Linked DNA regions of Coturnix japonica. The protein of the gene in region 2 binds, or shares a complex with, the protein of the main gene of each other region. Links are inferred from orthologs where the notes say so. Each region holds a gene or a part of one and is shown on either strand. Other genes may lie near its edges.

Region 1 (4,280 bases), on a different chromosome or scaffold from region 2:
AGTTATGTGCAGGCAGCTGGTAAGCCTGCATCATGCCTTGCTGCCTGCCTCCCTGCTTCCATGCCCAGTGTGGATAAGCTTTCCACTGGCAGCTGCAAAACCTCAGCCTGCAAAGCCTGAAGATATGCTTATCTACACACCTTGTGCAGCCGGGACTTGCAGCCCCTGAAAGCACAGCATGCAGCCCTGAAAGCACAGCATGCAGCCCTGAAAGCACAGCATGCTGCCCTGAAAGCACAGCATGCAGCCCTGAAAGCACAGCATGCAGCTCTACAGACACATCTGCCCCAGCTGCCAGAACACCCCTGTGCTGTACACCCCCCGGTGATGCTTTAGCTGAAAGGATGTCTGGGCTGACAGGTCACCCAGCCTCCCGGAGTGATGATTTGTGACGTCCATCTTCATTGCAGGAGAGTTGGACTAGATGGCATTGGATGCTTCCAGGTTTGGCTCTACTGCAGCAGCTCTGTGTCCTGCTGAGCTGCTCTGGGGGCTGACGTGGCCCCAGGACCATCACAGACCCTCTTGTATGGAGGGTAAGTATATAACCAGACTGTTCATCTCAGCAGCTTTTGAGACATCCGTGTTTTCCAAAAGGAAACAAAAGAAGTGGAAACGTTTAGCAGTTCATTTGTGTTCTATTAGGAAGAAAAAAATGAGCTGAGCCAGCTAATACAGCCTTAATTAGCATCTCATTAAGGCTGAAAATACACACAAGCAACATGCGTGAAGCAAAAACCATGTTTTTCTGGTTCCATGATGAGATTTGCTTGGTTTTGTGTTCCCAGCCACTGGACTGGAGACAACCATGTAGGCTTTTGTCTACAGGTCTGTGTATTATTCCTGTTCAGAATAGTCCAAAATCAGCAAGCTGTATTTCTGCTCCTAATTAGTTGGCGAGGTGACAAATAATTGTGTGTCTGTAAAATTGCCTATGGGGAAATCCCATATGAAGCAAATAGAAATTATTCTCCCTTGGGAGACTGAGTGAGACACCGATATTTTTGGCACAGGAGGAAAGCAGTACTTGAAAGTCGTCTCGTCTTTGATTTGTTATCAAAGCTGAAGCTATAAGGAAGCCCAGAAAATGACTTTTAAGCTGGAAACATAAAACCAGAATCCCAGATGAGCGCAGATCCCACTTGATGAGGCAGAAAGCAAGAATCACATTAGCAGAAGGTACTAAAACACACAGAGAGGAGCATGTCTTCAGCGTGGGAGCTACATGTTTGTATGACTTAGAGCTAGGAGAGCTGCAAGGCAGGACAAAGTGCCAGATTCTTTTCTTTCAAGCCTTATATAGCTCTGACCTGGCCTTTCTTCTGCTTGTATCTCATCACACACTCTTCTTCCTCACCTCAGCAGAAACAGGTTAAGCTTGCATGTTTCTGCACCGAGCTGTGTGCTTTTTTTAAGCATGCATGACCATTGAGTCTGAGCTGTCTGGTGAGCATCACGGTGACCAGGGATATGCCATTTAATTGATCTGCACTTGTGCAGCAAGTCTGATGTGTCCAGAATGCCCCAGATTTACTGTGTGTGCACAGACAATTCACACGCTGCAGACAGAAAGGCTGAAGCTTTCCACACAGATAAAGTCAATGGGGTGTGTGTAGTAACATTGATCTGCCCTTGCACAGGGCTCGTGTATTTGGGATTTTGTTGTATGTGGAAGCCTAGGAAATAGATGCAAATTACAATATTTTCCCCTGACAAAACTGCAGGTAGAAAAATAGCGTGTCCTTGTGCCAATTCTGACACTTTATTTCTTAATCCCTCACTGTCAGTCTTTCTTCTGTGCTAGGTGTCATGTCTGCATCATTAAGTATGACCGAACCTCAGATCCTGCTGTCTGCAGCTCATCTCTTCCTTCCTGGCTGCAGATGTAGCAGCACTCACTCATGTCCTTGCTTTGCAGTGTTTCTGAGGTGTTCTGACTTCCTCACAGCCTTTCACAATTATAAGCACTTTGAGTTTCTGCTTGAATAGCACTGAACAGCATTCTTAAATTCATCAATAACTACATTCAGAATGTAAGTCTGTGCTGCAGTTATACTATGTTCTTAAATGATGGATTGCTACATATGCTGTGTCCTCTCATCTGAGCACTAGTTCCTGGGCAGCAGGAGCAAGCTTGCTAACACACTTCCCCCTGGCATGATGCCTGGTGTTAAGTAATCTCACCTGAAGTTCTATTTCAGTTTCTTTCTTGACATCTTGCAGCTGTTTCTGGAGTGACTTTATCTCCTTCTTTCCTTCCTCTTCCCTGAAGGAAAATGGGAGAATACAGTCACTTGAATGCATCTAAAAAAACACCCCATGAGCTGTGTACGTAGATAGGGAGTTTTCAGATTCTTTATACACTGCTGCACCTAGTGAACGCTGCCCCAATTAACCTGCTCATCCAGCACCTTTGTTACAGCTGAACTAAAAGAAGTGAGAAGTTTGCCCTGCTTCAGTGCAGCGTAAAAGCTTGCAGCTGCTCCCAGTGTCTGAGGAGCAGAAAAGGTATTTGTGTCTTCACTCTGAAGTTCAGTGTTGAAGGCAGCACGTCTCCAGATCAGAGGGATCTCTCAACAAAGTTAGTGACTTGGTAAGTAAATCCTGAAGGAAGAGATGTATGGATTGAATAGGGAGGATGGGAATGAAAGGGAAAGTGAACCAAAAACAGGGAGAGCCAGGCCAAAACCTACAGGGGAGTTTGACAGTTTAAAGCAAAAAGGATGAGATAATGTTGTAGGTCTCATTATTTTACTTCACTTTGAGGGCTTTTCCAAGCTTTTATGCTTATTGTTTGATCTAAAGCCAGTAAGAAGAGTTGCTGCCTGAGGCTTTGTACCCTACCCCCACTTTACAGGCAAACATGCATTTCATTTTTTAGGTACTTAGCTGGGCAACTCTGCTACAGGAGCTCCTGATAAGGAGTCTCAGCCTTACTGCAGACTGCTCTCAGACTGGTATATTGACACAAAACCAGACAAGTATATGGTATATTTAAATACAGATCAAGTTCATTCAATGAAAAGAATGTGCAGTAGAACAGATAGCACAGTGCTTAGATATGGTTGATATAATGGAATAAAAAAATGATTAAAATTTGTATGCCCCCTTTCTAACTCCAGTGTTGAACAGGGATTCCACAAGCAACAGCTGCTTTCATTTTTTGCTTTCTGACCCTTCCTTGGAGAAACAATAAATCCCTTGGTTTTAGATGCTGGAAGTGGTGGGCTTCACGTTCAAAAGACAATTGCCTCTGCCACCATCTGTGCTAACCCTGCATTGGAAAAAGGGAGCACATTAGCATTTGGGTCAAAGCAGATTCTCCTGGGCATCGTATAACCTCAAGTCCGTATGTTGCTGACCTTGGTTTGAGCAGATTATTTGCTACTCTGGCTTCCTCTGGGGACAAGGAGTTGAAGGTCAGAAAACTCCTCCATCACATTATGTTTTAATTGATATGGAGCAGAGTTTGCATCAATGCAGACACTGGTGTCCGCTGTGGTCCAAGCTCAGGCAATTCCCAAGTCAGATTAGTATTATTACAGTCAGTTATTTTCCTCTCCAAGGGCAAATGCAATTTGTGAAGTAGTCAGGATAATTCAAGCTGAAAAGGGATCCCTTCCATATCTTGATGTAGAGTTTGTTTTTGTTTTCCTTTTACATTGTATAATGAGGGAAAATGAGCTTTGGCTCTAGGTCACTAATCAGAAAAGTACAAAGCACAACTCTGACCTGATGAGGATGTCATTCAAGTTGCTTTTCTTTGCTTTCTCTCTCCCATTAGCTTCTATTAGGCTATCAAATGTTCCCGATTCCTCCATCTTCTTCATAGTGGCTGTAATTACATCACTCACATACTGCCTACCAGGGAGAAAAGGAACACAACAGTAATGTATAGGTGTACACTGATAACACGGAGTCTGGCACCTTTATCAATTATTGCCCTACTGCCATAGGGCTTCTGTGTACCCTACAGAATAACTGAGATCATGAGATCTCATGGCAAGGCCATGGTGCTCCCCTTAGATATAGCCATTCTTAGATATAGCCACAACTGGGGAACACTAGCAGTGGGAGGATGAGAAGCCTGTATTTTGCTTTGCAGAGGTAAAGTGAGAACTTTACAGCTCTGAGCATCCTGCACAGGCATCACACTTGTGCTTCACTTACCTGTCAGCCTGAATTTTTCTGAGATATTCTGCAGATGGAGCATTGGGTTTCGTGGCCCTTTTGGAAGGATGTTGGGCTCGTTTTGGATCCGCAGAGTTCCCCAGCTGCTG
Region 2 (4,280 bases):
AACCACATCCAAAATTGCATTATTAAGGGTTTAGCCTTTGTTTGCTCCTGTATTTCCTATAGTGGTCCCATGCACTGCCTTTAATGCCGTTGTTTTCAGAAAATTTTGGCCACAAAGCTGTTTCCTCAGAAACATTTTCACTCTCTAAAGGTTTGTTGTTGTTGTTGTTGTTGTTTTTTGTTTGGTTTCCAATTTTTCACTGTTTTGGGTTGTGTTCTCATTTTTTGTATGCCTGTATACATCTTTGTGTTATGTTCTATCTTTTTTGACCTTAGTACTTAAGATGGTAGTAGATCCAAGTCTTGAATGCAGACGGTATCCCAGATGTTCTGTTTCTGAAGCAACATTGTTTTGGTCTCAAAAAACTTGTCTTTATCTGGTAGAAAGATTCTATAATAAGAAAACTAATATTAATGTGACCTGCTGTCAGTATCAACTTTGAAAACGCCTTAATTGGATTTCTAATGCTCTACTTGCCAGTTCTCTGTTGGCATTCAGTTTCTGTTAATTCATAGCGTGCATTACACTAACGACTTTATCCTTCACATGAAAAATGAGGTTTGTTACTTTTCAGAAGTTACATACTAGTGTATTGATTCTGAGTTTTAATAACATCAGTCATAACGGGGATCCTCTGTGTTGTTTTGAATTTTTGAACATTTTTCAACATTCAACATTCATTCTGTCCAGGAATGCTTGGAACTGGAAAAAGATAAGAATTTGATGATGAAAGATAATAACTACCTGTGAAATGTTCTTTGTTCTTCTTTTCCATCTCCTGAATCTGAATAGGCAGTTATTACCAGTATTACTCTGCCATCGATTTCTATTATGCTCAGCTGTAATATCAAAATGAGCGACTCCTTTCAGTAGCGTTTACAGGTTCACATGTGAAATCTGTCTCATTTAGTCTTAGGGCAAGAACCATATAAGAGGTTTGTCATTTCTGCGGCTTAGCATCCTTAATTATGATTTTAACTGCTTAGATGTTTTTGAGTTGTGCAGAACCCTGTCGGGGATCTTGGGATTTCAAGATCCTACCCTTGTAGAACAGACCTCTGGTTGGACTAATACTTGACTAGAATTGAAAATCTGTTTTTGGCTTACAATGTCAGTGTTTCTTTTTAATGCTTTTTATGTTCTTCTTTTAATTCTATACATATTTCACACTGCATTTTCTATGTTAGATCTGTGTACCAGGCCTACTTTTTATTTTCATTTCAGTTTAGTCAGATTGGTTATTTTTAAAGGTCAGATTAAGACAAAAAGCATTTTTACATAATTACCTTTGAGAATAGGCTAAAAATTTGGCAAAGAGAGTGGTTGAAAGGATGGGTAGGGGCTGCTCCCAGTGTCAAATGTCCACATTTCATTATTTAGTTGCAAAATTGCAAAGATCTCTGCAAAATAGATGTTATAAACAAAAAATTTAAAGGGACACAGAAGTGAGTGTCTCAACTAAGTAATCCTGAATTCTATAACTAACTGCAGAAGATAAGCATAGCATTTTGTATATTTAGTCTAGTTGCTGCTCTTCTATTTGTCAAAGGAAAAAATAGTTCATATATATAGTCAAATAATGATATCATCATGTAACATTGGGATGGAACAGACACATTTTAGATAACTTAACTCCATCATTTCCTAACACTACATTACTTAACTAGAGAGCTTTCTCATCCTTTGGTAATGTAAGACAGAAAGTAGCTTGATTCATAAGCCAGATATTAGTTGATGATGTGTTAAGAAGACATTTTTCCTCTGGACAACTTCAGCTTTGTATACTACTTCTCAGAAATCTGATACTGCAATAGTTTCAAGTAGGATATTAGTCAAGATGGACTGAAACTGTAATGAAATACTTAAGTTTCTATGGTACTCAGAGAATTTGAACTTTTAACCTTCAAAATGCCTTTGTTTTTTTAGGTGAATGTAGGAATTTGCAAGATTTAAATCTCTCTGAATGTCAGGGATTGAATGTAAGTAACAAACTTTATCCACATACCTATTACAGATGAATCTGGCAAGTCAGCCTTCCACTGTATTTTTTTCAAATGAATAAAAAAATAAGAAACTTTTCAACAAGCCTCAAAATTTGATGGTAATTATTTCAGGATTATGTTGCTTGTCTTGACCTATCCAATTATCCAGAGGCTAAAACTTATACTACATGAACCTTGTGAATAAATATGTTCTTGTCATGTTCAGAATGCTCATTTGGCATGGTCTTAAAATTACTGATTATATGCAATTCGCATGTGAATTCACATAACATAGACCTGAACCAGCTCCTAGATATGATTAATTTCAGCACGTCTCTACAAAGAGCAGAAAAAACGTGCAACCTGTGTATTAAATGTACTTGCTTATCTGGGTTATATCAGATGCTTAGTTTGTAATAGAATTTGGACTATTTATTCCAAAATATTGTTAGAATTTTAATTATACCTTGTAGGGCAGTGGCTTCTGGCCCAACCATTACATAGTGAATTTTTTGGGGGAGGGAAAAAAAAAAAAAAAAAAAAAAAGAGGGAAAAAAAAAGAAATCAACAGTAATGACATAACCACTGTAAACTTCCTAGTGTCATATTTTGGCAAACTCGGAGGACTGGTGAAACTGGAGAACTGTTGACATTTGGAGGTAGTAGATACTTAACAATAATTGCAAGGAGGAAGACATGTTGACCCTTGAGGGATGTCATTTGCCACAAGACAGCAATGGCACTATCGGTGACAGTTCTTTGGCCTAGCAGTCCAGGCAAATTTTCACTCACTTTGGAATCCACTTATCCAGCCTATATTTTACCCATTTGGCTATAAAAGATACTACGTTGAAGGCCTTGTTGTAGTCAAGATACGCAAACTACTTTTCTCCTCTTATCCAAAGATTTTGTTATTTCATCATAGAAAACTATTACATCAGCGAGGAATGCTTTGTGCTTAGTAAATCCTTGCTGGCTGTTTCCTGTCACCTGTTTATCTTTCATTTGCTTGGTCATGGCTTCAAGGACGATCTGCTAAATAAACTTCTCAGGGAGTCTGGTAAGGCTGAAAGTCTCAGAGTTTCCTGGATCCTTCTTTTTCCCCTTCCTGAAGGTGAATGCGACATTTCCTTCCTTCCAGTCATTTGAAATCTCCTTTGTTACTTAGATCATTGAAAAATGATCTATTCTGTCAAATAGTGTTACTGCACTCTTTGTAAAAGTTTCCATGGAAAGAAATAGGAGGCATTACTTTCAGAGAAATCTACATACATACAAATATAAGATAAACTAATGCAAATAGAATTTTAATGTACATCTGGATTTTTTTATTAATATGCAGGATGAATCAATGAGACTTATATCTGAAGGCTGCAGATCTCTTCTCTATTTAAATTTGTCATATACAAATATTACCAATGGAACACTACAACTTTTGTCAAGGTAAAGTTAAAAATAGATGTTACAGTATCTTTGTTTTACTCATACAGTAAGCTCAGAGGCATGTATTGTAGAAATACCCTTTTAAAGAGATTTATCAGATTCTGTNAACTTACAAAAAACTCAATACATTTCACTTAGATGACAATTCTTCTTTCTTTTTTTTATGTTTTATTATAATTAAAAATATATGCTAGGCTACCCTATGTATTCCACAGATTTCTGCAGAAAGAGAACGTGGTAGTTAAAAAATTTCTGTGGCGTATCCAGCTATTCCTGATGATACAAGAAGTTTGCACAAAGGAATGTTTGTAAAAATTCTTTTTTTATTTTTAAAGAAGATTGTGGGTGGGTCTATTGTGAGAGCCAAGTAGTTGTGTGCCAACTGCGAAGAGTTAATTCTAAGATCTAACTTGGAAGATCAGTGTATGGAAGACAAATAGATAACGTTGTTAGAAGTCTGTCATTCCTGTTTAAATGTGTCTCTCTATGAGACATGGAGATTTGGTGAATTAGAGGTTGGTTGATGCACTAAAAGCTGACATCACAAAAAAAAAGCATGATGGTCAAGGATGTGCCTCCACAAAGATGTACATAGGTTTTGAAGATAGATGTACATTATTTATCTTTCCCATGAATAAAATTAATGCCATCCTTTCAGCAACACCCCCACAAAGTCCAAAAATCTCTTTTTCACTGTCATCACAGTTTTTATTCTTAAATCTGTGTGCTGTATCTTCGTATTTGGCAAAAATTACTGTTGAGTGTCTTGCCAGTCACCTCTTCATCAATATGATTCTCAACATAATCTGTGTTTTGTCCTTGTTGGCTGATATTTTGTCTTTTTACATTTCCACA
Region 3 (4,884 bases), on a different chromosome or scaffold from region 2:
CTATCCCAAAGGGCCAGAACAGCAATCCTCTCAGCTCAGGCTCCCAAAAGAGAAAAGGAATTTCCCTCTAACCTTTCCAATCATAGTTCTGATCTGAAGATTTAGGGCTTTACGAAGCCATCCTTGCCTTTCCAGTAACCCATATCTACAACAGGAGAGACAACGGGCTTAAAAGAAAGGAAACAAACCTTGAACATAACTAAAATTTATGTCACGAAGACACAGATAAAGTCAGACAATAGGTTTCTTTAGAGAAATTACTGACGTGGTGCTGGATAAGCCCAGGACCCTTATCAGAACTGTGGATATGAGTCACTTGGGGATGCTGGCTGCACATGTCCCCACAGCAGGGCAATGCCAAAGCCAAAAGCTTTGGACTGCCAGACTCTGGTCTAGCAGCAAATTATTTATTCCCCCAGCCCTACCCTGAGCAGCTGCAACCACCAGAAATCCGAGCAAGGAGGATGCAAAGCCCTGGGGATGTAAAGCTCCATCTGCAGCATGGGCTATGGCCCCACTGCATGGTCCTCCAGCTTCAGTGGAAATCTGGCTCCTGCTGCTGCCAGAACCACATTGATAGCAAATGCAGGGCTGTTCCAGCTTGGCACAACCACCTCGGGCAGCTCTGCAAACCTCCTCCGAGATGTGCCACCCGTGGCTGCAGTAGCCTCAACACAAAGCTCCCACCACTCTCATCCTGCCCACCAGCCCAAGGACAGCATATATCCTCAACACAAAGCTCCCACCTCTCTCATCCTACTCACCATTGCCAGACCACTCCACACTTGCCCACCCGCAGCCAGCTGCGTTCTTCTCACGCTCCTGGCTGCCTCCCTTATATCACCTCCCAGCAGCTCATCGCTCCCCCACGCTGTCTCTGCGATTGCACAAGAGCCAGCAGCAAACGGGGAGGAAAGGGCCCTCTGAAAGTGTGTCCTCCAGCACAGCCCTTCTGATTAGCTCAGGGCTGGTGAACGCTGACCCAAATCACAGCCCTGATGGAACTCTAACCAGGAGCAGCGTCTGCAATACCCCTATCTCTGCACCATCCCCTGCTTATCAGGGTTTTATGCACCCACCTGCTGTTGTGGCACCTGCTTTGCCTCAGCAGGAGCAGCAGATACCATAGTGATACATACAGAGGCAAACAACTGTGCGCTCAGTACATGGCTTCCCATGCACACACATACGTGCTCTGGTTTTTAGTGACTTCTGAAATCTCAGATCTGGTGGGAGATGCTATGACAGACATGGGGATAAGAGCTCAGTCCTTCCACGCTTTGTGAAACAATAATGATAATGTTCATTCAAAGTGATGCTACTTGATACACTGTTTCTGCTGCAGCATAAAAGAAAGCACTCAGCTAAATTATTTAAAACATCTGACTGTGGTTTCTCTGCATGCCCAGCATGTCACGGCACACCCCACTGTCCTGGTGCATCCTCAGGAGCCTTCAGTGCTGTGGGCACCCCCTGGGAGCAGGGCAGGCTTGCCTTAACACAGATAAAACACAGCAATGAAGCAGTGCTTAGCAGCTGTCCATCCAAAGAACCACCACTTAAAAAACCAAGCCTCCTGCGCCATGTAAAAGCATTGGAACCCATGAGTTTTGGGGCAGTCCTGAAGCCTGGAGTGGGCAGAGTAGGCCCAAGCTCAGACCCAGGCCCAAAGCCAGGCCCAGGCCCACAGCTCCCAGCCCATTAGCTATGGGGCTGCTGAGGCACCTGCCACAGCCAGGCTGCGTACGGAGGAGCTGAAGTGAGCGGTGAGCAGAACTGGGGCAGCCGAGGAGGCTGCGGGACCCGGGGTGCAGCTCGGGGCCTATTGCCTCCACAGGGCGGGGGAGGGCCGGGGCTGGGCGGCGGGGGAGGCCGCAGGCCGCGCCAAGGCTGCTGGGTGCGTGGGCGTTGCCGTGGTGACCAGGCCCGGCGGAGAAGCCGTGTCAGGAGACAGAGGTGCGGGGCTGAACGGGCTGCGGGGAGGACACAAGGTCCATCGTGCCCCATCTGCTCCACAGCGGGTCAGCCTGACCGCAGGGAGGGAAACGGATGGCCCCCAGCCTCCCTGAAATGTAAACAGGCGATAGGAGCAGCGCTGCGGCCTTGGAGGCTGCTCTGCTGCTGAGGCAGCTACAAACAACCCCCTGCCCAACAGCCCTGGCTGGGGCCCTTGGAGGACCACAACAGGGCCTGAGGCTGTGCCATGGCTGTCACCAAACAAATCCCCATCTCACTGCCCCGTGACCTGTGTTCCACCTGCCCATGCTGAACTCAAGTTCAGTGCTTGCACCTGACAGTCACAGAAATGGGAGTTATCGTGCCCCAAGTGCAAGGGTGTTGGTGTTGCTATACACCTTGTCCCAACTGGTTGCATGTATTTCTGTAGAGGAAGCGAAATGGAGGCCGTAGAGGAGAAGAAAGAGGAGCAAAAGGAAGAAGGGGAGCAAAAGGAAGAAGGGGAGCAAAAGGAAGAAGGGGAGCAAAAGGAAGAAGGGGAGCAAAAGGAAGAAGGGGAGCAAAAGGAAGACGGGGAGCAAAAGGAAGAAGAAGGGGAGCAAAAGGAAGAAGAAGGGGAGCAAAAGGAAGAAGAGCTGAAGGCTTTGGAGGACAGCAGTGAGCTTCACGACCTGGAGAAAAAGCTGTCTGTGGAACAAATCTGCTTTCCAAGTGATGTACCGTAAGTTGCACGTTTGTGTCAGTCACTGGGATGAGCAGATACAGTCCTGCAGGGGGGTCCATAGGGAGCTGCATGATTGTAGCTGGTGCTGAGGCTTGTTTGTGCAAGGCAGGGTGGGGAGTTTCTGTAAGCCTGGTGAGCTGTTCATCTCTGTAAGACAAGATAAATCACTTCATTTTCCATCCATTTAGTGTTGTATCAGAACACTGTATAAACATCCCCCAGTCCTCTTGGTCTACATTAGCTTGCCATCACTCCAGAGAAGCCTGGCTATGGCAAAATTATGCCCACTTTAAATGATCTCTTCTTGGATTTGAGCCTCATTTTTTTCCAGCAGGGAGCCCCTCCAGTGTCTTGACAGCAGATCATCCTGTCTAAATTGCTCCCCACTTTATTACCTGTGTTTCTCTGCCTCCTTCTGCCTCTCAAGGGATTTTGACTGGAGCAGCATTGACACATCCGAGTTACCAGACTCCTACAAGACGAATTCCCCAAGGGAAAAGAAGATGCTGCGCATCGCTGACCATTACCAACGGCAGTACACTCACCTCTGCCCTGAACGCAAGCCGCTCTTCCTGCACCCAGTCAACGAATGTGGCGTGGAGGTAAAGGGTGGTGTGGAGATGGGCCCAAGCTGCACAGTTTTTTGTCTAGCTATGGCCCTGTTGCTCCTCTGACTGTGTGGAATTGCTTCTTTAGGTCAGCTTCCTTCAACATTTATTATATAAAAGTCATACAAGTTGAAATAAAGAAATAAATAGATGCCAGAGGATATAGAAGCCAGAAAGCGCAGTAGCTATTTGTCTCACATGAAAACTAAGAGATCTGGCTCACATCTATAATGTGGCTGAGATTAGCTTGAATTTTTAGGCACAAACAAACAGAAGTGCCTACCGGCACAAACCCTCTTAACTCCGTGCATTTCCTGTTCTGAATGGTGATGAGGTGTACCATCGGTATGTTGGTGTGCTCCACAGAAGTCCTGAATATAAACTGCTGCATCCAGGGGTTGTCTGAGGATGGCTTTGGACAGGAAACTGCACTAGAGATCTGTTGGCTAATCAAAGTCCTCTTCTTGCATTACAGAAGTTTGTGAGCACAACAGTGAGGCCAACCTTGCTGCCTTACACAGAGCTGTACCACTGGGATGGCTGTGCCAGCTTCGTCTCTGACTATCTCACTATGGAGCCCCTCAAGAGCCCTCTCACACCGGTAAGAAAGGGGCTGCAGTCCCTACAGAAGAAGCCAAGAAAGAGACAAGCACTGTGAACAGATATCCCTTTCTTTCAAGCCCAGTTCACTCTATTCCCCAACCACCATCCTGAAGTACCAGCGAGGGAACTGCTTTGACTTCAGCGTGCTGCTGTGCTCCATGCTGATTGGAGCTGGGTATGATGCCTACTGTGTGAATGGGTATGCCACCCAAAGCATATGCAGCTTGGATGAAACTCTGGAGGTATGCCCACTGCTCAGGAAGCCACAGGAGGTGAGGAGATCTGCAGTGAGCAGGGAGCAGGCAGGGGGGAGCCTGGGTGTCTGGTTCTGATAAGAAAACTATGACATTGGTGAGAAAGACAAAGCACTCTGGAGGCCAATGAAGCTGGCATCTCTGGTGCGTCCAACACGCGATAAGAATGAGTGTGATGGCAGGCTGTGGGGCGCCCAGCCACACTGCCTGTTTGCTTTCTAATCATGTTACTCATTTAAAGAGGGCAACAGTTTGCCCATGCTTTCTCCCTTTTCTTGATTCCTGCTGGGTTTAACAGCAATTTCTTGCTTTGGTGGAGGCAGAAACCAAAAGAAGAAGTGAAGAAGTCTAGCAAATATAGAATTAAGCCCCTCCCAGAGGTCTACAGCAAGTTTGAGCTTCAGCAGGAGGCCAAGAAGAAAGCAGAAACTGAGAAAAAGGAAAAAGAGATAGGCATGGTGAGTTAGCAAGGTCTACCCCCCTACTCTCAAACTCCATTAGCAAGAATTGAGACATGGGTAATAGCTGACCTTAGAAAGGAGCTCACTACCCTCCACGCAGTAGAGTACAGCTCAGATTCTGGCTATGAACACATGGTTTCTGAAAACATAGTGTGTGCTAGCAGAGGAATATATGCTGAGCATGTACTCCACTACTGTTCTGAGGAGCATTAGGGGTTTGGAGGCCTTTAGAATTGGGCAGGGAAAAAAAAAAAAAAAAAAGATTGCTGGTGGATTGG
Region 4 (4,811 bases), on a different chromosome or scaffold from region 2:
GAGCACCACATCCAAACGGCTCTTAAACACACCCAGAGATGGTGACTCAACCACCTCCCTAGGGAGCCTATTCCAGTGTTGAACCACCCTTAAGAAAAAAAAAAAAAAAAAAAAGAAGTGTTTCCTAATGTCCAACCTAAACTTACCTTGGCACAACTTGAGGCCATTTCCCCTCATCCTGTCACTTGTCACCAGTAAGAAGAGACTTGCCCCTCTCTCACTGTAGGAACCTTTCAGATACTGGAAGAGAGCAATAAGGTCTCCCCTCAGCCTCCTTTTCCCCAGACTGAACAGCCCCAGCTCCCTCAGCCTCTCCTCATAGGGCTGATTTTCCAAGTGCTCCACAAGCCTCGTTGCCCTTATCTGGACCTGCTCTAGTACCTCCATGTATTTTTTGTACTGAGGTGCCCAAAACTGAACACAGTACTCGAGGTGAGGCCTCACCAATGCTGAGTACAGGGGCAGAATTCACCGAAACCTGGACAGGCTGGAGAGCTGGGCAGTAAGAAACCGGATGAGGTTTAACAAAAGCAAGTGTAGAGTCTTGCACCTAGGGAGAAATAATTGCATTCACCAGAACAGGTTGGGGGATGACCTGCTGGAGAGGAGCTCTGCTGAGAGGGACCTGGGTGTCCTGGTAGACGACAGTGGCCAAAAAGGTACATTAAAAAGAGCATGGCCAACAGGTCAAGGGAGGTGATCCTCCCCCTCTGCCCTGGTGAGGCCACATCTGAAGTACTGTGTCTGTATTGGGCTCCCCAGTACAAAAAAGACGGGGATCTCTTGGAAAGAGTTCAGCAGAGTTCATAAGGCTCTAGAGCAGAGGTAAAAACTCTTTCCCATCTCCACTAACAACCTTATTGTGAGTTTTTCACAAGTTGGGAAAAGGATCTGTGAGGACTAATGACATACTGCAGCAGTAAGTTAAATTCCCCAGAATCACTACTATTTACCAGAGAAAATCCTCATCAGAGAATGGCTATAAACCATCTCCTTAAGTCTTCACATCACAATCAGTTATGTTTCTGGAAGACCTTTGTTACCCAGAATCAGTCGTCCAGTTCTGTATGGGTATAAAGGTGTGCAACAGGAGCTCAGAATATTTCATCTACTTCCTTTTGGATTCAAATTCATGACTTATTAATTGTATTTTAAGTATGTGCTAACTAGCACAAAGAATACAGTGTGTATAAAACTCTCATACTGATCACATACACAGTATTACCATAATGATAAAGCCACACTGAACATTCTCTTTTATGTACTTCCATGTAATTTCTTAAATCCCAGCTGGAGAAAAATACGTCTTGTCTTCCATCTAGTTTTACTTCAGGCACTACTGGTCTGACATTTTACTTTCAGGTTCTAGTAACATCGGCACTGAGATCAGAGAGATGGAAACTTAGAAAATCTGACACGTTCTGTGAAATTATAAAGAAAGTACCTGAGAACAAATGGAAGAACAGACAGATGGAATTAAGTAGCAAAAAAGGGGAAAGAAACAGAACGATGGGAAGAAAGATACAGACAAATACACAAAAGAGAAAGATGAAGCAGTGTAATGTAATCAGATGGGAATAAAGAAAAAAAAATAATTAAATAACGTTGAAAGCACAAATGCAGGAATACAAATTCATGCATAAAACATACAGCTCCATATATCATGGGCATGATATTAGCACTCACACACATGCAAGATTTTATTCGCAATTATGTAAGCTAGAGGGTAACACATTATCAATGTCATGCAAAAGAGGCTGCAAGACTTGGCCTTACACTGTTTTTTCTTGTGTACATCCAGTATATCTGTTAAACATTAAGGTAAGCATTTTAACTTTGATGAAGACAAACTTGAAAATAATAGGACCTAAGGGAAACGTTTACCACAAAAGCAGGTGGAACTACAGTTCTACCAAGAACCAAGGGGAATACCCTAAAGACTAATTATTCGACAATAAAACTAATGCTGTTCTTCTCTTTGAGACACAACAAAGTAAAAGCTGCAGTTTGTGTTTATGTAAAATGCTTGTCAGAAGCACAATTGCTGCATGAATCCAGGATTTGAGGATTCTAATCAGCCCCCTAACTGCTACCTGCAGGAGGTCTAAGAGCAACTGACATGGAGATAAGCCATCTCCTCTTATGGGATGCTTCTGCACTTCGGTGAGACACTGAATATTAGTTTGCCTTGGTGATGAGACACCTCTATGAGGCATTAAGGAAATCATCTGCTCAATAAAAGTGTAGGATTCTCATGAGTGTCCAAAGGGAAGCTAGATGCCTTGTCTTCACACTATCCATGAGATACAAGTCATTGTCTTCTCCCTACAGGCAGGAAATCAAAGCCCAGCTTGCCACCTTCCTGTGATCTGTCAGGAAGGGCCAGGAATGGAATTCTTGACAGCACAGTTTCCCTCTAGCAGATAACTTGTGGTGGTCTCCTGGGAACAGCTCTTTACAGGATGATAAACTACCTCTAGTAATTAAAAAACAATCAACAAAAGGGTGTGTCTTCAGCAAGACGGCGCTTCAACTTCTTTAAAATTACATTCGAACTAAAAAAATGCATTAGAAGCTATTGATCAAGCAATCAGAAAAACTCCTCATTCAGCATTACCCACAACTTTTTGTTGTGGGTTTTTCACAGAAAATTGTGCTTTTACTCATTAATACGAAATAACTTATTAGTTACAGTGTTCTCAATCTGTGACTTATTACCACGTTCTCGTGTTTATTTACACAAAGGACGGCACTCAGAAGCGACACTGTTACGAGCTGCTCAGAGTGCACAACCTTCTGGAAACGACGCTGGGACACCCTTGCGGGAGGAGTTACCTCTCGCCTTTCAATCACACTTTCTGGCAGCGCTTCCTGAAGCAGAACACGCCTCCCTCTAAAAATAAGCCCCGGAGCCCCGAGAGTCAGCCGGGATCGCTTTTCCTTGGCGGAGGGCTGGCCCCGCCCCACGCCGTCACCCAAGGCTGGGCCCCTCGCTTCCCACTCCCAGGCGCGCTCCGTCCCGCAGGCCGCTGTGCAGGCCCCGTGCCCGGCCTTACCGTCACTGCTCACCGCCTGCGCCATGGCCGAGCCCCGAGCCGTCGCCGTGGCGACGCGGGGCGCAGCGGCCCGGCGGGCGCTCCCCTCCTTCCACCGCGGCCTCCCCTGGCCCCCAGCGCCAGGCCTGAGCTGGCAGCCCTCCGCCCTGGGAAGCAGTCACCGGGCCCGCTGAAATAAAAAGCATATAAAAGCTGAGTGAAGCAGTGCAGTGATTTTTTGAGTGCACTAACTACTGCACTGCGTGGTTTCAAGAGCAGTGAGTGACAGCCATAGTCCTGGGTGCTAATGCTCCAAAACATCCATCGCACCCAAACACGGATCCCAGGCATGGAGGCTGCAGCTGTAACCCACCACCCTCCCTCCCAGCTGGGACCAGTAATGCTTGGGGTGTCACTCCCTGTCATGGCAAAGTGACAGAACCCACCGCTGAAGACACACCTGGCACGGGTGGCATCGGCAGGCACAAGCACCACTGTCCTGGCAGGGAGACTTGGACGAGCCCCAGCAATCTGCTGGTTCACAGAAAAAAAAAAAGTCTTCCCAGCAATTGCAGAGATTTCTGCATCTGAGCTTCAGAAAGTGAAAGAACATTTTATTCTAAATATCGTCACTCTTGAAACAGCTAAAATATTCTCAGCGATATTAAATAAAACGCAGTTTAAATATAGCCGTGTATTTTAGCAGATGTACTTGCAATGCGCAGTTCTTCTGAACAAATGATTGTGGAAGTGGAGAAAATGCAAATATGAGCATACCAACAAGATGCAACCATATACTCATAGGAACTAATGTTTTAAGGAAATTCCTAGAACCAAAGCACTGTCTTCCCCGCAGTAGGCGCTATTTGTTTATACTGTTTATATTGTGCGTAGCTCAGAGTAAAGAGGGTATAATATAGGGTATAATATATACCCAACAGAGCGTACAGTGTTAGTCTCTTGGGAAAACAGCTGATTATGCTCTCTAACAAAGTTGATCCCTCCAAATGGTTACCTATAGACTTGAACAGTTTATTAAAGTAACTGAGTACTTCCAAGTATGTGTTTTGACTACATGGGTAATGTGGATTTGTTTCCTCTCAAGCAGATAACTGAAGTTTGAGTGATAACAGTGCAAAAGCCTAATCTAGAGAATGTAACAGTAACAGAAGGAAAGGCCATTATCTTTCACTGTGATGCAATCCCCTTTCTTGTTCCTTCAATGTCTCCAAACACAAAACCTTCGTCTTTGCTGGTTGTTGATCTGTTGTGGTAGATGTATTTGAAACTGAAGAACAAAATACATTGTTTGACAAACACAGAGCTTGCTTATTACTTCTCTCATCGTCTCAGCGTGAAATTTTATGTTCTTCAGTGTTGTGCCCAAGGATTAGATTCCCTGTGTCATTTTCCAGATCACCTGATTCATCACAGGACATGCAGAGCAATTCTACAAATGCTGATGTATTTATAAAAAATGAATGTTAGTTCAAAGTCTTCACAAGATTCCCCTAATGAATGCTTTAAAAACTGATTTTCCACTCATTCAGATTTTCATGCCCAGCCCATGCCCAAAATATGGACAACATTCATCTTTGAAATACATTTTGCTTGCTGTGGAAATTTGAGACTCTTGTATTTCTACAGCAGTTTTTGTGTAGATCTGAGCCATTGTGAACATGAAATAGTAAGAGTCATTTCACTCAGGCCACTTTATTTTATCATCTTCCCATCAATCTCAGCAGTATTTGGGCTTGGCTTTCCTCACACACTATA
Region 5 (3,760 bases), on a different chromosome or scaffold from region 2:
CTGCTGATTTCAGCAGAAAGGAAGCCTGCAGTGCTGCTGGGGAAGTCGCCTGCTCACAGTTCCTCCTCTTGTTCCCTGACCTAGCTCTGGAAGTTCCTCAAACAGTGCTGTGATGCTGCACGACAGGGAGGTTGTGCTCTAGCCAAAGTGCAGAGGCTGGGCAGGTGACAAAGCATCAAATGCAAGTTAGAGCCATCCAACTGCACCTCCTTTAATGCTGTGGCTTTATCAGCCTTTTTTCTTTTTCTTCTATTTTTTTTTCTTTCCTGAGGCAGCCAGGCTGCTGCAGTGATCATTGTGAGGAGCTGCTCAGCTCATGCAGAGAGATTTACTGGCCACAGAGATCCCCTTTCCCTTTCCTTAGCATGTGCTGTACCCCTGGGTGGCCTAATATCGTCTTTGTCATGCCAAGAGACGGGAAATGCCTTGTCTGACCTATGATGGCTTGGAAGTCTGTGGGCCAGTGTCATACAGGAAATCATGTGGCTTGTGGTGGGCTCTGGCTGATCTTTCTCTCACAGAGTACAAATAGCTGTATTTACAGGAGGGACCTTGTTAGGTTAGACTGCTGCTAGACTGTCTTACACCTAGAAATACCTCTTAAGAGGCTCCATATTTGTAGGGCTTTCATGTTTACCATTTCTCTGTTACTTCAGTTCTAGGGTGGTTGCCCCAGTTTGTTGATTACTTGCCTCATTCCATGAGATGTTTTCATTTCCTACCACATAACATGCCTTTCTGATGTCTTTCAATCCTCAGCCCTCATCCAGCTCTGTACTAGTGAACAAATAAGGTGCTTTTGGCCTCAGGCAGCGGAGGCCTGTTCCATGAGAATCCCCAAATCAGGAGCAAAATATAGGTCAGCTGAAGCAAGCTTGCCACAAGGAGGAGATGTTCTACTCAAATATGATGATGCTAGAGCTCAAAGCTATGATGCTGTTTCCTAACTCAGGATTTTACACAGAATCACAGAATCATAGGGATTGGAAGGGACCTCTGGAGATCATCTAGTCCAACCCCACTGCTAAAGCAGGTTCCCTGCAGCAGGTTGCAGAGGAAAACATCCAGGTGGGATTTGAGTATCTCCTGAGGAGATTCTGTCACCTCTGGGAAGTTTGTTCCAGTGCTTTGTCACTCTCAAAGTCATGAAGTTTTTCCTTGTGTTCAGATGGAACTTCCTATGTTCCAGTTTGTACCCACTGCCCCTTGTCCTGTCACTGGGCACCACCAAAAAGAGCCTGGCCCCATCCTCTTGACTTTTGATCCTTTTGATCCCCTTAAATATATATAGGCATTGGTAAGACCCCTCTCAGCCTTCTCTAGGGCTCTCAGCCTTTCCACATCAGGGAAAGCAGCGCTTTGTGCTGCCCATCATTTTTTTTGTGTCCCTCTGCTGGACTCTCTCCAGCAGCTCCATGTCTGCCTTGAAGTGGTGAGCCCAGAACTGCACACATTGCTCCAGATGTGGCCTCCCCAGGGCAGAGCAGAGGGAGGAGAACCTTCCTTGACCTGATGGCTACATTCTTTGTAATGTACTCTGAGATACCATTGGCCTTCTTGGCCCCCAGGGCACACTGCTGGCTCATGGTCACCCTGCTGTCCACCAGGACTCTCAGGTCCTTCTCTGCAGAGTTCCTTTGCAGCAGGTCAGCCCTTAACCTGTACTGATGTGCACCCTGATATTCCTCCCTGGGTGTAGGATTCTGCACTTTCCCCTGTTGAACCTCATTGGGTTCCAGTCTGCCCAGCTCTCAGCCTGTCCAAGTTTGGCTGAAGGCTGCGTGGCCTTCTGGTATGTCAGCCACCCCTCCTAGCTTTGTATCACCAAGCTTCAAGTGCCAGCAAGTAACCTACCTTGTTTTGTTTCAGAGAAAAGGCAGAATGGAGGCGGAAATTCTGAACTGGGTCGAGGTATATGACACAGACATGGCAGAAAAACAGGTATCCTCTCTAAAGCATTTTGCTCTCCCATGAGCTGACATGTTCAGGTGCATCCCTATCAAATGGACATTTGGCTCTCACACAGGAGGCCATAGATGTGAGGGGCAGTTCTCCATCCAGATGTAAGGGTAAAAGAATCCTTACCTAGGGTTGTATAGAGAGAAGCTGCTGGTTGCCCTCAGTATTGCTGTAGCTGGTATTTATCTGTTGTCTTGGCAGGCTGAGTTTGAGGAGGTTCATGCTGCCTACACCAAAGAAAAGGCTGAGCTGTCCCTGCTGATGGAGAAACATGCTGTGCTTCTCCCGGAGTATACCCAGATTGAGGAGGAGCGCAGGTTAAATGAGGAGAAGAAGAAGCAAGCTTTGGAGAAATTGGCTGTCATGACCCGCGCTGCCACCCTCATCCAGGCCTTCTGGAGAGGCTACGTGATCCGGTGTACCTTCAAGCCAAAAAAGAAGAAGGGCAAGGGCAAGGGCAAAGGCAAGAAGGGAAAGAAATAATCACAACATCTATTTACTCTCCTGTCAAAGTCACTGACTCCTTTGAGACAGAGCACTTCCAGATAAAAGCATTAGGGTTGAGATAGCATTTGCATTAAGGCCCAAACAGTCCAGGGCTGGAGCTGCCTCTCATAGTTAAATAGAGTGTTGGCATGAAGATAAGGCTTGCTGTTTTAGGTTTAGCTTTGCTAGCTCTAAAAGATGGAGGAGGTCTCCTGGTGAAGGGACTGGACTAGGTCTACCCAACTCTACTTTCTCTCCAATTCTGTTGTTACTGAAGATGGGAATAAAATCATTCCTGGGGGTAGGATGAAGCTCTTTGTCTGGCTTGGTTTCTCCTTGTGTGCATTTGAGAGGATGTTTCCCTTTCCACAGGAGGAAGCTGCAGGATCACCACTGATCCACAAAAGAACTGACACGCCAGTGTCAGATTTAAGACTTAATGCTTCTCCCTGGATCCTCCAAGTGTTCAATGCCCTGTGAGCACACTGTAGCTTTTCCCTTTCACAGAAGTATGAGTCAAATGCATTTAAGTAGCCGTGTAGCAACTTCAGAGTTCTTCACTTCTCTGCCCCTTTGAGCTGAAACTGGTCATGGATACACTTACACTGAGTGCTGTGTCTTACAGAGTTTCATTCTGGCTGTTAATGTTACCAGTATGACACTTCCACTCCTTTGCATTTAACAAGTCCCAGAACTACCAGCATTTGGATCCAGGTTCCAGCTGACATTTCTGTATTCCCCGACTTTGGAGTTTCTTCATTTCTTTTCCCAGGACAGTGCAGTGATGCTGGCTGCAAATCCCCAACAGCCACCAGCCCTTTGCTCCCTCTCTGCCTCTGTTCATAAATGGATATCTATAGCAAATGGATTCTATGCAAACCGAGGCAGAGAAGGGACCGTTTTGCTAAGGACGAGAGTCCCTGGAGATATTCAAGGCCTGAGTGCAGATCACACAGCAGCCCTGCCAGATTTTCCTGGATGGTTTATTTGCTTAAAAGTATGGGGTCACTGTGACATTATCCTCAATACAAATCATAGTGGTTTTTTTTTTGCCATCTTGTGTGCAGCCCTATGCACGTTGCCAAGCGCATCCTGGAATCACTCAGGCCTGGACTCAAGGATGTGACAGGCAGGATCAGGTGAGACTCCTCTCTACTCAGGCACGATCAAAGGATGTTTCTTCGCTTCTTTGCAGCCACAAGAAATTCTTCTCTTGCAATGGACTTCTTCCATTGCTGCTCCATATGGCTAACAGCCCTCCACCTTCATTCATGCCAACTGGAGGAGGTGCACGTGCAGGTGCTCAGCGAGCGGT
Region 6 (5,077 bases), on a different chromosome or scaffold from region 2:
TTGGCCAGATTTGAGCTTCATTCATCAAGACATCAGCTCTCTGCTCTGGACAGTAATCAACCCAGCTGGTGGAAAGAGGCTGAGGCCTTTTGGCAACAGATATGGAGAAGGGAACAGCTGCAGTCTTTCTCCCTGAACTCTACTTCTACCGAATGAACTGGCTACCTCAATCTGATGGATATTGTGACGGTAAGTTCGTAACATCATCCTGGTCTGCTCCTCCATTCTCTCCAAAAGCAGGTGGATGTCATCTGACTGCTTCTTAATGGTTTGCACGTATTGCTCATCTTTGTTTTTCAGCTCCTGGAGGAGGACAGCAGATGCTGAAATCAGAGAGAATGTTTTACTAGGGGATAACAGAGAATGTAGGACCCAGATCCTGCCTTTTCCAAAGGTGACAAGGACAAAAGGCCAGCAAGTCATGAGGTATTTAGGAGGAAAGGTGGGAGGAGAGACATCACCACCAAAGGTCGGTCATAGCTGGTAAGAAGATAGAGTGGAAGGTGAAACATCTGCAATAGGCCACTCCTGCTGCTGAGGGCCAAGGAACCTGCTCTGGAGAAGACTTGCTTCCCTTTAGGAAAACAATCCCCTTCTTGTCCTGGACCAACTGACACTGCATGCATCCCAGCCATGTGCTGGGGCCTCGGTGGGCCAGGGGGATGGCTGTTGCTTTAGAACAGCACCCTCCAAAGCTTGAAAACTCCAGTCCTCCCTGGTTACCTCCGCATGGCTCCCACACTACCTGCTGCAGTTCACCAATGAGCTTGTTCTTCTCATCCAGAAGCTGCGTGCACAGCTGCTGCTGTTGGTTCAGCAGCTGCCACAGATCCTGAGGGATTGTCATATCTTTGGCCAAGGCCCACTTCGAGGTGATCTCCTCAAACTTTTCAGCACTGTACTTGGCTACATTCTCCAGCTTCTCCACCCTGTGGGCAGTAGAAGAAGGTAAACCATCGCAGGGCAACAAGTGGTTCAGTGGCCTACACCACATACAAAGCCACAGGAACATTCTCCTGAATAACTTAGCTTGAAAAGTGGCATCAAGATGAGGCAGCAGGTGGGAGGTGACACAACTCCCAGCTACACAGCCCAACCCTGGAGAATCAAAGGGAGTGCTTTCCCTTTGTCACATGCAGCTGGACTGAGTTTCTCCCACACACATTCCACCACTGCCTCTCTGAAACCTTCCTTATGGGCTGTTTATGGGCTTAAAATATCCAGATCCTTATAGATAGGCTTAATAGAAAATATTCTGAGCAAGGAACTGATGCCTTGCTCCAGCCAGCCTCCCACAAACTGTTCCTACAGTGCCCTCCAAAGGCAATTAAGAGAAAGGACTCGGTGTTCCTCAACTGATCTGTGCAGGCAAGGCTGAAACAGCCAGACCCTTAGAGATCCCTCTGGTGGGGCAGGACAGGTTACCCAAGGCAGCCATAGAGAGACTGGAGAATAACTGAGGCTGGAAGAGCCTCAGAAAAACACTGGGTCCTGGTTAATGTAGGATTAACCAGGCAGAGCAGATGGTGCAGGGCCTCATTCAGGCAAGTGCTGAGTTGGAATATCCCTACATCACGATGGGCCCCCGAGCAAGCATCTAACCACCCTCACCATGAAGACATTTATATCCACTTCCTCACATCAGCACAGCCTCACATTTTTCTCAGTCCTCATACACAACTGCCTGGTGTGGGTGGCCCTGCACCTACTCATGCTATAGCTAATAACTACACTCACTGCTAAAAACACTCTGTAAAGATCCACCTGTGGCAGGTTGGACCTGGGAGCTCTTGGTGTCCTTTGGCAATTAACTGCAGTGCAACCCTAACTTTTAAGTGTATGTGGATGCTCAGAGTTAGGATGCTTTGCATGTAATGCAGCCATCTCGGGATGTGCTCAGAGAGCTGCACAAACATCTGCGTCTCTCCTTTCCAGCAGAGCAAACCCACACCACAGTCTCTTACCTCTGTTTCTTCAGCTCTGCCTGTTCTGCTCTCCTCTGTGTTTCCCTCAAGTCAGTAGCCACCTGGATTTCTGTCACCATCCGTATGCCTTCAAAGAGCAGCTTGGCCAACTTCTGTGAAGGAGATGATACACATACCTGTAAACTTCAACTCTGGAGGGAGAGATACTGGAGCTGCTCTCATGCTGTCAAGGCTCCAGATCATATCCCCACACTGTGAAACCTATGTAGACCCATAAGCTCCATCTTCTCATGTTCTAGCAGGGTTTGAGGAGCACTGGGAAGACCTCAGTGCACCCATGAATCCTCCTTCACTTGGAGAGCCCTGAAGGCCAGCAGCACAAAGAGGAACTGGCCCGTGCTCAGTGCACATTTCTGTTTTGCTTCCCCTATATTTGGACAGTGGGATATGAGTCTGGATGCACAGCTCCTATCTCAGAACCCTCCAATCCATGGGCATTTTGCTACAGGGAAATCTTGTCTTCAATCTATAGCCCATGAGTCTCCTCCCACTTGGTCCTACAGAGCTTCTGCCACTGTGTCCTTTCTCATACAGGCTGCTGGGTGACACTGAGTACTGCATGAAGCCAAATGCCTGCAGCTTAGGGATCCAAGAGGACCTTCCTGTCTTACTGTCATACCTGCCGGATTTCCTCCACCTCCTTGTGGCTGTTTCTCTCCTCTTCCACATCCTCATCCTCCTCCTTTGGTTCCTCATCTTCTCCAAGCTCTTGCCTGGGCAGCAAAGGGAAAAAAGACAGAATCATTTGCACTTCTATCTCCCTAAAGTTGCGAGATAACCTTGCAAAGCTTGTGACTCCATCCCAGCATAGAGAGAATGATTCAGCAGCCTCAATGTGCCCCGAGAAGTGCAGAAAAGAAGAGGAACTCATCCAAGAATGGTGGATTCCAGCACCATTGGCCATTCCCATTGGGATGGGGGACAGGCCTGGCCTTCATACAGTGCTGATGGGATGGGGGACAGGCCTGGCCTTCATACAGTGCTGATGGGATGGGGGACAGGCCTGGCCCATGGGGGTGTGGGTACAAGGCAGCAAAGGCAGCAAGGGCCTGGATAGGGGACAGAAGGGATCAGGCATAAGATTAGGCCTCGCAATGGCCGCCCCCTCTTCTCACCGCCGTTGGGCCTCGAGGCGGGCGGCGATGCGGAGACGGCGAGCGGCGATCCGCTCCTCGGGGCCAGGTTCGGTCGGATCCGGTTCCGAGTCCGGGTTCGGGTCCGTTTCAGGGGCCGATACCGGCTCCTTCCACCTCGACCCCGCCGATCGCTCACCCCCTTCGCGGCTCATATGCGAAAACGCGTTGCCTGGCGACGCAACTACTGCGCACGCGTAGTGGCACGGCGCTGCTGTTTTGCCTAGCAACAAGGATGCGGCGCATGCGCAGTAGCTGCGCATCCCCATAGAGACCCCATAGATCCCCATAGAGACCCCATAGACCCCATAGACCCCATAGAGACCCCATAGACCCCATAGAACCCCACAGAGACCCCATAGACCCCATAGACCCCATAGAGACCGCATAGACCCCATAGATCCCCCATAGACCCCATAGACCCCATAGATCCCCATAGAGACCGCATAGACCCCATAGATCCCCATAGAGACCGCATAGACCCCATAGATCCCCATAGATCAGACCCCAAAGATCAGTTGCCCATGGCCCGTCCAACCTGGCCTTGAACACCCAAGGACGGGCATCCACAACCTCCTGGGCAGCCTGTTCCAGGCCTAACCACTCTCCTAGTGAAGAACTTCCCCCTAACATCCAACCTAAATCTTCCCTCTTTTAACTTAAAACCATTTCCCCGTGTCCTGCTATTGTCAGCCCTTTCCAAGAGTTTACTCCCCTCCTGGCAGTAAGTTCCCTTCAGGTACTGAAAAGGCTGCAATGAGGTCACCCCGCAACCTTCTCTTCTCCAGGCTGAACAAACCCAACTCCTCAGCCTGTCCTCATGGGGAGGTGCTCAGCCCCCTGATCATCTTCCTGTCCCTCCTCTGGCCCCTTTCCAAATCTCCATGTCTTTTTGTACTGAGGCTCCACACCTGGACAAGTACTCCAAATGGGCCTCACAAGAGAAGATAGAGAGGGACGATCACCTCCCTATCCCTGCTGACCACCCTCTCCTGATGGAGCCCAGGATCCCATTTTGCTTTCCGGGCTGCCAGAGCGCACTGCTGGCTCATGTTGAGTCTCTCATCCATCCATCCCCCAGGTCCTTCTCAGCTGAGCTGCTCTCAAGGACCACTCCTCCCAGCCTGTACAGGTGCCTGGGGTTCTTCCGGCCCAAGTGCAAAACCTTGCACTTTGCCGTGTTGAACCTCATATAGGTTCACCCGAGCCCAGCTTTCCAGCCTGTCAAGGTCCTCTGCTGAGCATCTGTTCCCTCCACCGTATCGACGCGCACCACTCGACTTGGTGTCGTCAGCAAACTTGCTGAGGGTGCACTCCATTCCCTCATCGATGTTCATTAATAAAGATGTTGAAGAGCACCGGCCCAAGACAGACCCTTGGGGGACACGCCGTTACCTTTGAGGCCTCCACCTGAATAGATCCATTGACCACACCCTCTGTCTGCGGCTTTCAACCATTGCTTATCCATCTAGTTGTCCACCATCAAATCCACTTCCCTCCAATTTGGAGATGAGGATGTGGTGGGGACCATGTCAAAGGCCTTGCTCAGTCCAGGTAAATGACATTGTCGCCTTCTCTTCGTCACCAACGCCGTCACTCCATCATAGAAGGCCACAAATTAGTTAAGCAGACCTTTCCCCTGGTGAAGCATGCTGGCTGTCTCGGATGTGATCCTTCAGGACCCTGGGATGCACGCCATCTGGCCCCATAGACTTGTACTCATTCAGTCTAAGGAGGCACTCTCGGACTTGCTCTACCCTTACAGTGGGGAGGAATTTACCTCCTTGGTCCCCACATAGAGGTTTGCGGATGCAGGTCGTTGCTGCGCATGTGCAGTAGAGACGAGGGCGATTAGGAAGGGATGTACTTCAGGGTTGAGGCTGTGGGCTGCAATGGAAGAGCTCAGTCAGTGTGCAAGGACAGAGGGGTGCAGGAAGGATGGATGTTGCTTAGCAAGGA
Region 7 (3,128 bases), on a different chromosome or scaffold from region 2:
AATGTGCTGTGAAAATGGAGCCTGGACAGGCTGGGTGGAGGCAGGGCTCTCACTGCTGCCAGCCCATACTGCTGAGCACAGTTGCCTGGCTGGGTGGCTGGAGGAGTCCTTTCAGATTTAAGTCCTGGCTCCAGTGCTCTCCTCAGGGGACGCATCAGGTTCTCACGGGCTGCCTTGGAGCGTTTCCATGCCCTGTTTCCAGGATGCTATTTCTGGGCTCTGCTCTCCATGGTCCCAACGTAACTGCTCCGTGTGCTGGTGGCAGCTGCTGTGGGGCTGTTAACAAGCATCTTGTCTTTGAGCAGTGCTGCAGTGGCACATGTTGGGCTGCTGCTTGCTAACAGAGCCTAGGTTCTGTGGGAGGGTCTCATTCGGCCCCCTGTGCACTTCCCCAGAGATGGAGGCCAGGTACAACAGGAAGATGCAAGCTCTGCGGGATCAGCTTGACCTGCGCCGAAAGACTGAGATCCATGAAGTCGAGGAGAGGAAAAACAACCAGATCAGTGAGCTGATGAAGAACCATGAGAAAGCCTTCCATGACTTCAAGAACTACCATGAAGATGTCACCTTCCAAAACCTGGCGCTCGTCAGCTTGCTGAAGGTAATGCCTGCCTGCTCTCTGACCCCGCTGCTGCAGCCCTGTTGTGTAGTGTCACCAGGGAGCTGGTCCAGTAACTTGCCCCAGATCTGGCCAGTTCCCTGGTGGAAGTCCTGGCACTCCTGTTTTCCTGGGAGTTGTACGACATTACATGAGCAAAGTTCTTGTACACAGAGAGATGTGGCTTGCTGGGCCAGCACTGGGAGGGTGTTGGGACTTGGGAAGCTGTGAGGAGCTGGGCAGACCCTGCCTATAGGAACTAGCACTTGTGTTCCCAAAAACAGGAACAGGTGGAGGAGGCGAAGCAGAGAGAAACTCAACTGGAGAAGGAGAAGGCAGATGCCTTGCTTCAGAACAAGCAACTGAAGGAGACCCTGCAGCAGGCCCAGGAGCTGGTGTTTGAGCTGCAGAAGAAGTTGGCCCACTACGATAAGGACAAGGAGGCTCTGATGGTGAGCTGCCAGCCCTGCTGAGCCCTTTTCTATTCTTTCCTGGGTCACTTTGGCTGTTTCCTGGCATTGCTCAGCAGTGACCTCTGCCGCTCGGCTGAGAGCTCTTCGGCCAGACTGCTGGGCAAATGCACTGGGGTCCCTTTCAGCTTATTTGGATGCGTGTAAGAACTCAGACAGGACTCCAGAACTCTGGCAGCAAGAAAGAAGAGCAGACCCTGCTGCAGAGAGGGAAGGGTGTTGGTGTGGCTGTAGCTTGTGTTCTCTCAACCCCATTTCTTCTGCTGGTTGCTCTCCCCCTTGCCAGAACACAGAACACCCATCTCCCAGAGAAGTCTTGTAATTGTTGCCTCCTACTTGCAGAACACAAAAGCCCATCTGAAAATCAACCAGAAGGAACTGAAAGACCTTCAATGGGAACATGAAGTGCTGGAGCAGCGGTTCTCTAAGGTGAGATCTGCAGGTGGGTCTGGCCATCCTGTTTCTCTCTCCAAACCCTGTCCCCATATAGAGGTTTAGGCACTAGGACTTTGCAGAGGCTGTTTTGTGCTGTACTGAGCTGGAAGCTTTCCAAATCTCTAATCCAGAGCGGCGCATTAGCTGCTACTTCCAACAAGGCTTATCACAGTTTTGGCGTCTCCTGTGCTCAGCAGACAGGCTCAGCCTTGTACTTCACTGAGCAATCATGCGTGTGCTGATGGTCCCCTCCTGGCCTGCTGGTGGGAGGCTGTGGCACTGGGTCAGGAGTGGAGCTGCATAGAGAGGCTTCTGCTACAGCAGAGAGAGATATGGGGACAGTATTTCCCTCATTCTGCTAGCATGTGGATGTCACTTCCTTGCTTGTCGTGCAGCCTCTTCAAGGAATATTCTGTTGACTGAGTTCTCCCAGACTGAGCCTCTCCCTTGCAGCTAACCCAGATAAATGCATTGAGGCAGAACAGAGCTCATTTGCAATTCGTAGAAATCCCCAGGAATATGAACACTGATCTGAGGCCTCGTTAACAATCCATCATTAAGGCAGGAACATATTCAGTGCAGTCAGAAATAGGCTTTGGAGGAGAGATTCTAATTAGGACACTTATTAACTAGCTGTAAGCCAGGAACTCCTGCCAGCTGCAAGGATGGGAGGAGAGACCCCTGCATGCTGGGGCCCCTCTGTGGTCCAAAATAGTGCCTTGGGACAGAGCATAGAGGAGGATGGAGTCAAGGCCAGGCTGAGCAGAGCGTGGTCTCTGCTTCTGTGGGAGGACAGCGAAGGCCAATTTACTCCCTTCTGGAGCTCAGGAAGTGCTGGGGTGGGGGGGGCTGCAGCAAGCCAAGATATCCCAAAGGGTCCTGAGGATGGTGTAAAGCTGTGCCATGTTTTGGAGCAGGTGCAGGCAGAGCGAGATGAGCTCTACCAGAAGTTCACCAAAGCCATTCATGAAGTACAGCAGAAGACTGGGTTCAAGAACCTGCTCCTGGAACGCAAGCTGAAAGGACTCCTCGATGTCCTGGAGAAAAAGGAAGTGGAGCTCAGCGAGGTCTTTGCAGCCTCCAAACTCGATCCAGGAGCCCTTTCCTTGGTCTCACAGAAGCTGGAGGTACTGTGCACTGGTGCAGGGCCCTCTCCTTTCCCCCTCTTGAAGGGCAGAGGCTGCTCTGGGGAAAATGCAAACCTTGGAGATGTGAGCGTCGTCAAATTCTGAGGTCTATGGGCAGCGTAAGGGCAGAGCCTGGTTGTGTGGCAGGAGACAGTCCCTGTCCTCTCTCTGCACTGTTACATACCTGGCTGTGTGGCCAGTCCCCAGCATCAGCACACTGCAAAAGCACCTCAGTCTGCTCTGCTGTTGGCTGCGCCATGTGGAGAGCCGGGCTGTGACTGTTGTGTCAGCTGTTCCCAGCACACCCATGGCTGCGTGGTGCCGCAGGGCACTCCGGCTCTCCCTGGAGAGTGGAGCGTGTGGGCGTTTGGCACTGATCTCTCGCTCAGGTGGAGACTGTTTCAAGGAGAATGACCCCAGGCAGCGCTGCTCAGGTCTCTGTGCTGACAGGTGCCATGTGGCATTAGGATGTGCTGCTGAGCTGTGGGCTGTGTGCAC

The links.
Region 1: FBXL13 (region 2) and IQCG share a complex: the UniProt entries of both Homo sapiens proteins name them as parts of the nexin-dynein regulatory complex. The link is inferred for Coturnix japonica from reciprocal best matches to the Homo sapiens genes FBXL13 and DRC9.
Region 3: FBXL13 (region 2) and DRC7 share a complex: the UniProt entries of both Homo sapiens proteins name them as parts of the nexin-dynein regulatory complex. The link is inferred for Coturnix japonica from reciprocal best matches to the Homo sapiens genes FBXL13 and DRC7.
Region 4: FBXL13 (region 2) and EFCAB2 share a complex: the UniProt entries of both Homo sapiens proteins name them as parts of the nexin-dynein regulatory complex. The link is inferred for Coturnix japonica from reciprocal best matches to the Homo sapiens genes FBXL13 and DRC8.
Region 5: FBXL13 (region 2) and IQCD share a complex: the UniProt entries of both Homo sapiens proteins name them as parts of the nexin-dynein regulatory complex. The link is inferred for Coturnix japonica from reciprocal best matches to the Homo sapiens genes FBXL13 and DRC10.
Region 6: FBXL13 (region 2) and DRC1 share a complex: the UniProt entries of both Homo sapiens proteins name them as parts of the nexin-dynein regulatory complex. The link is inferred for Coturnix japonica from reciprocal best matches to the Homo sapiens genes FBXL13 and DRC1.
Region 7: FBXL13 (region 2) and GAS8 share a complex: the UniProt entries of both Homo sapiens proteins name them as parts of the nexin-dynein regulatory complex. The link is inferred for Coturnix japonica from reciprocal best matches to the Homo sapiens genes FBXL13 and DRC4.

The regions. Positions count from the first base shown.
Region 1 is NC_029524.1:13,170,643-13,174,922, forward strand, and holds part of IQCG (dynein regulatory complex protein 9), read right to left. Parts: coding exon 4,171-4,280; intron 3,862-4,170; coding exon 3,733-3,861; intron 2,267-3,732; coding exon 2,185-2,266; intron 1-2,184. UniProt on the Homo sapiens protein: Component of the nexin-dynein regulatory complex (N-DRC), a key regulator of ciliary/flagellar motility which maintains the alignment and integrity of the distal axoneme and regulates microtubule sliding in motile axonemes.
Region 2 is NC_029516.1:11,568,278-11,572,557, reverse strand, and holds part of FBXL13 (dynein regulatory complex subunit 6), read left to right. Parts: intron 1-1,926; coding exon 1,927-1,979; intron 1,980-3,324; coding exon 3,325-3,425; intron 3,426-4,280. UniProt on the Homo sapiens protein: Substrate-recognition component of the SCF (SKP1-CUL1-F-box protein)-type E3 ubiquitin ligase complex.
Region 3 is NC_029526.1:1,941,335-1,946,218, forward strand, and holds the start of DRC7 (dynein regulatory complex subunit 7), read left to right. Parts: upstream 1-1,927; 5' UTR 1,928-2,372; coding exon 2,373-2,677; coding exon of another isoform or gene 2,678-2,827; intron 2,828-3,075; coding exon of another isoform or gene 3,076-3,107; coding exon 3,108-3,282; intron 3,283-3,763; coding exon 3,764-3,889; intron 3,890-3,950; coding exon 3,951-4,163; intron 4,164-4,468; coding exon 4,469-4,603; intron 4,604-4,884. Other genes in the region: uromodulin-like, read right to left, coding at 2,677-2,827, 3,076-3,128. UniProt on the Homo sapiens protein: Component of the nexin-dynein regulatory complex (N-DRC) a key regulator of ciliary/flagellar motility which maintains the alignment and integrity of the distal axoneme and regulates microtubule sliding in motile axonemes.
Region 4 is NC_029518.1:31,175,927-31,180,737, forward strand, and holds the start of EFCAB2 (dynein regulatory complex protein 8), read right to left. Parts: upstream 3,409-4,811; 5' UTR 3,082-3,408; coding exon 3,057-3,081; intron 2,858-3,056; exon of another isoform or gene 2,836-2,857; intron 1-2,835. UniProt on the Homo sapiens protein: Component of the nexin-dynein regulatory complex (N-DRC), a key regulator of ciliary/flagellar motility which maintains the alignment and integrity of the distal axoneme and regulates microtubule sliding in motile axonemes.
Region 5 is NC_029530.1:9,590,916-9,594,675, reverse strand, and holds the end of IQCD (dynein regulatory complex protein 10), read left to right. Parts: intron 1-1,869; coding exon 1,870-1,941; intron 1,942-2,160; coding exon 2,161-2,442; 3' UTR 2,443-2,756; downstream 2,757-3,760. UniProt on the Homo sapiens protein: Component of the nexin-dynein regulatory complex (N-DRC), a key regulator of ciliary/flagellar motility which maintains the alignment and integrity of the distal axoneme and regulates microtubule sliding in motile axonemes.
Region 6 is NC_029518.1:96,153,409-96,158,485, reverse strand, and holds the start of DRC1 (dynein regulatory complex protein 1), read right to left. Parts: upstream 3,318-5,077; 5' UTR 3,274-3,317; coding exon 3,101-3,273; intron 2,699-3,100; coding exon 2,605-2,698; intron 2,078-2,604; coding exon 1,965-2,077; intron 930-1,964; coding exon 746-929; intron 304-745; coding exon 166-303; intron 1-165. UniProt on the Homo sapiens protein: Component of the nexin-dynein regulatory complex (N-DRC) a key regulator of ciliary/flagellar motility which maintains the alignment and integrity of the distal axoneme and regulates microtubule sliding in motile axonemes.
Region 7 is NC_029526.1:16,811,002-16,814,129, forward strand, and holds part of GAS8 (dynein regulatory complex subunit 4), read left to right. Parts: intron 1-395; coding exon 396-601; intron 602-882; coding exon 883-1,050; intron 1,051-1,410; coding exon 1,411-1,497; intron 1,498-2,420; coding exon 2,421-2,630; intron 2,631-3,128. UniProt on the Homo sapiens protein: Component of the nexin-dynein regulatory complex (N-DRC), a key regulator of ciliary/flagellar motility which maintains the alignment and integrity of the distal axoneme and regulates microtubule sliding in motile axonemes.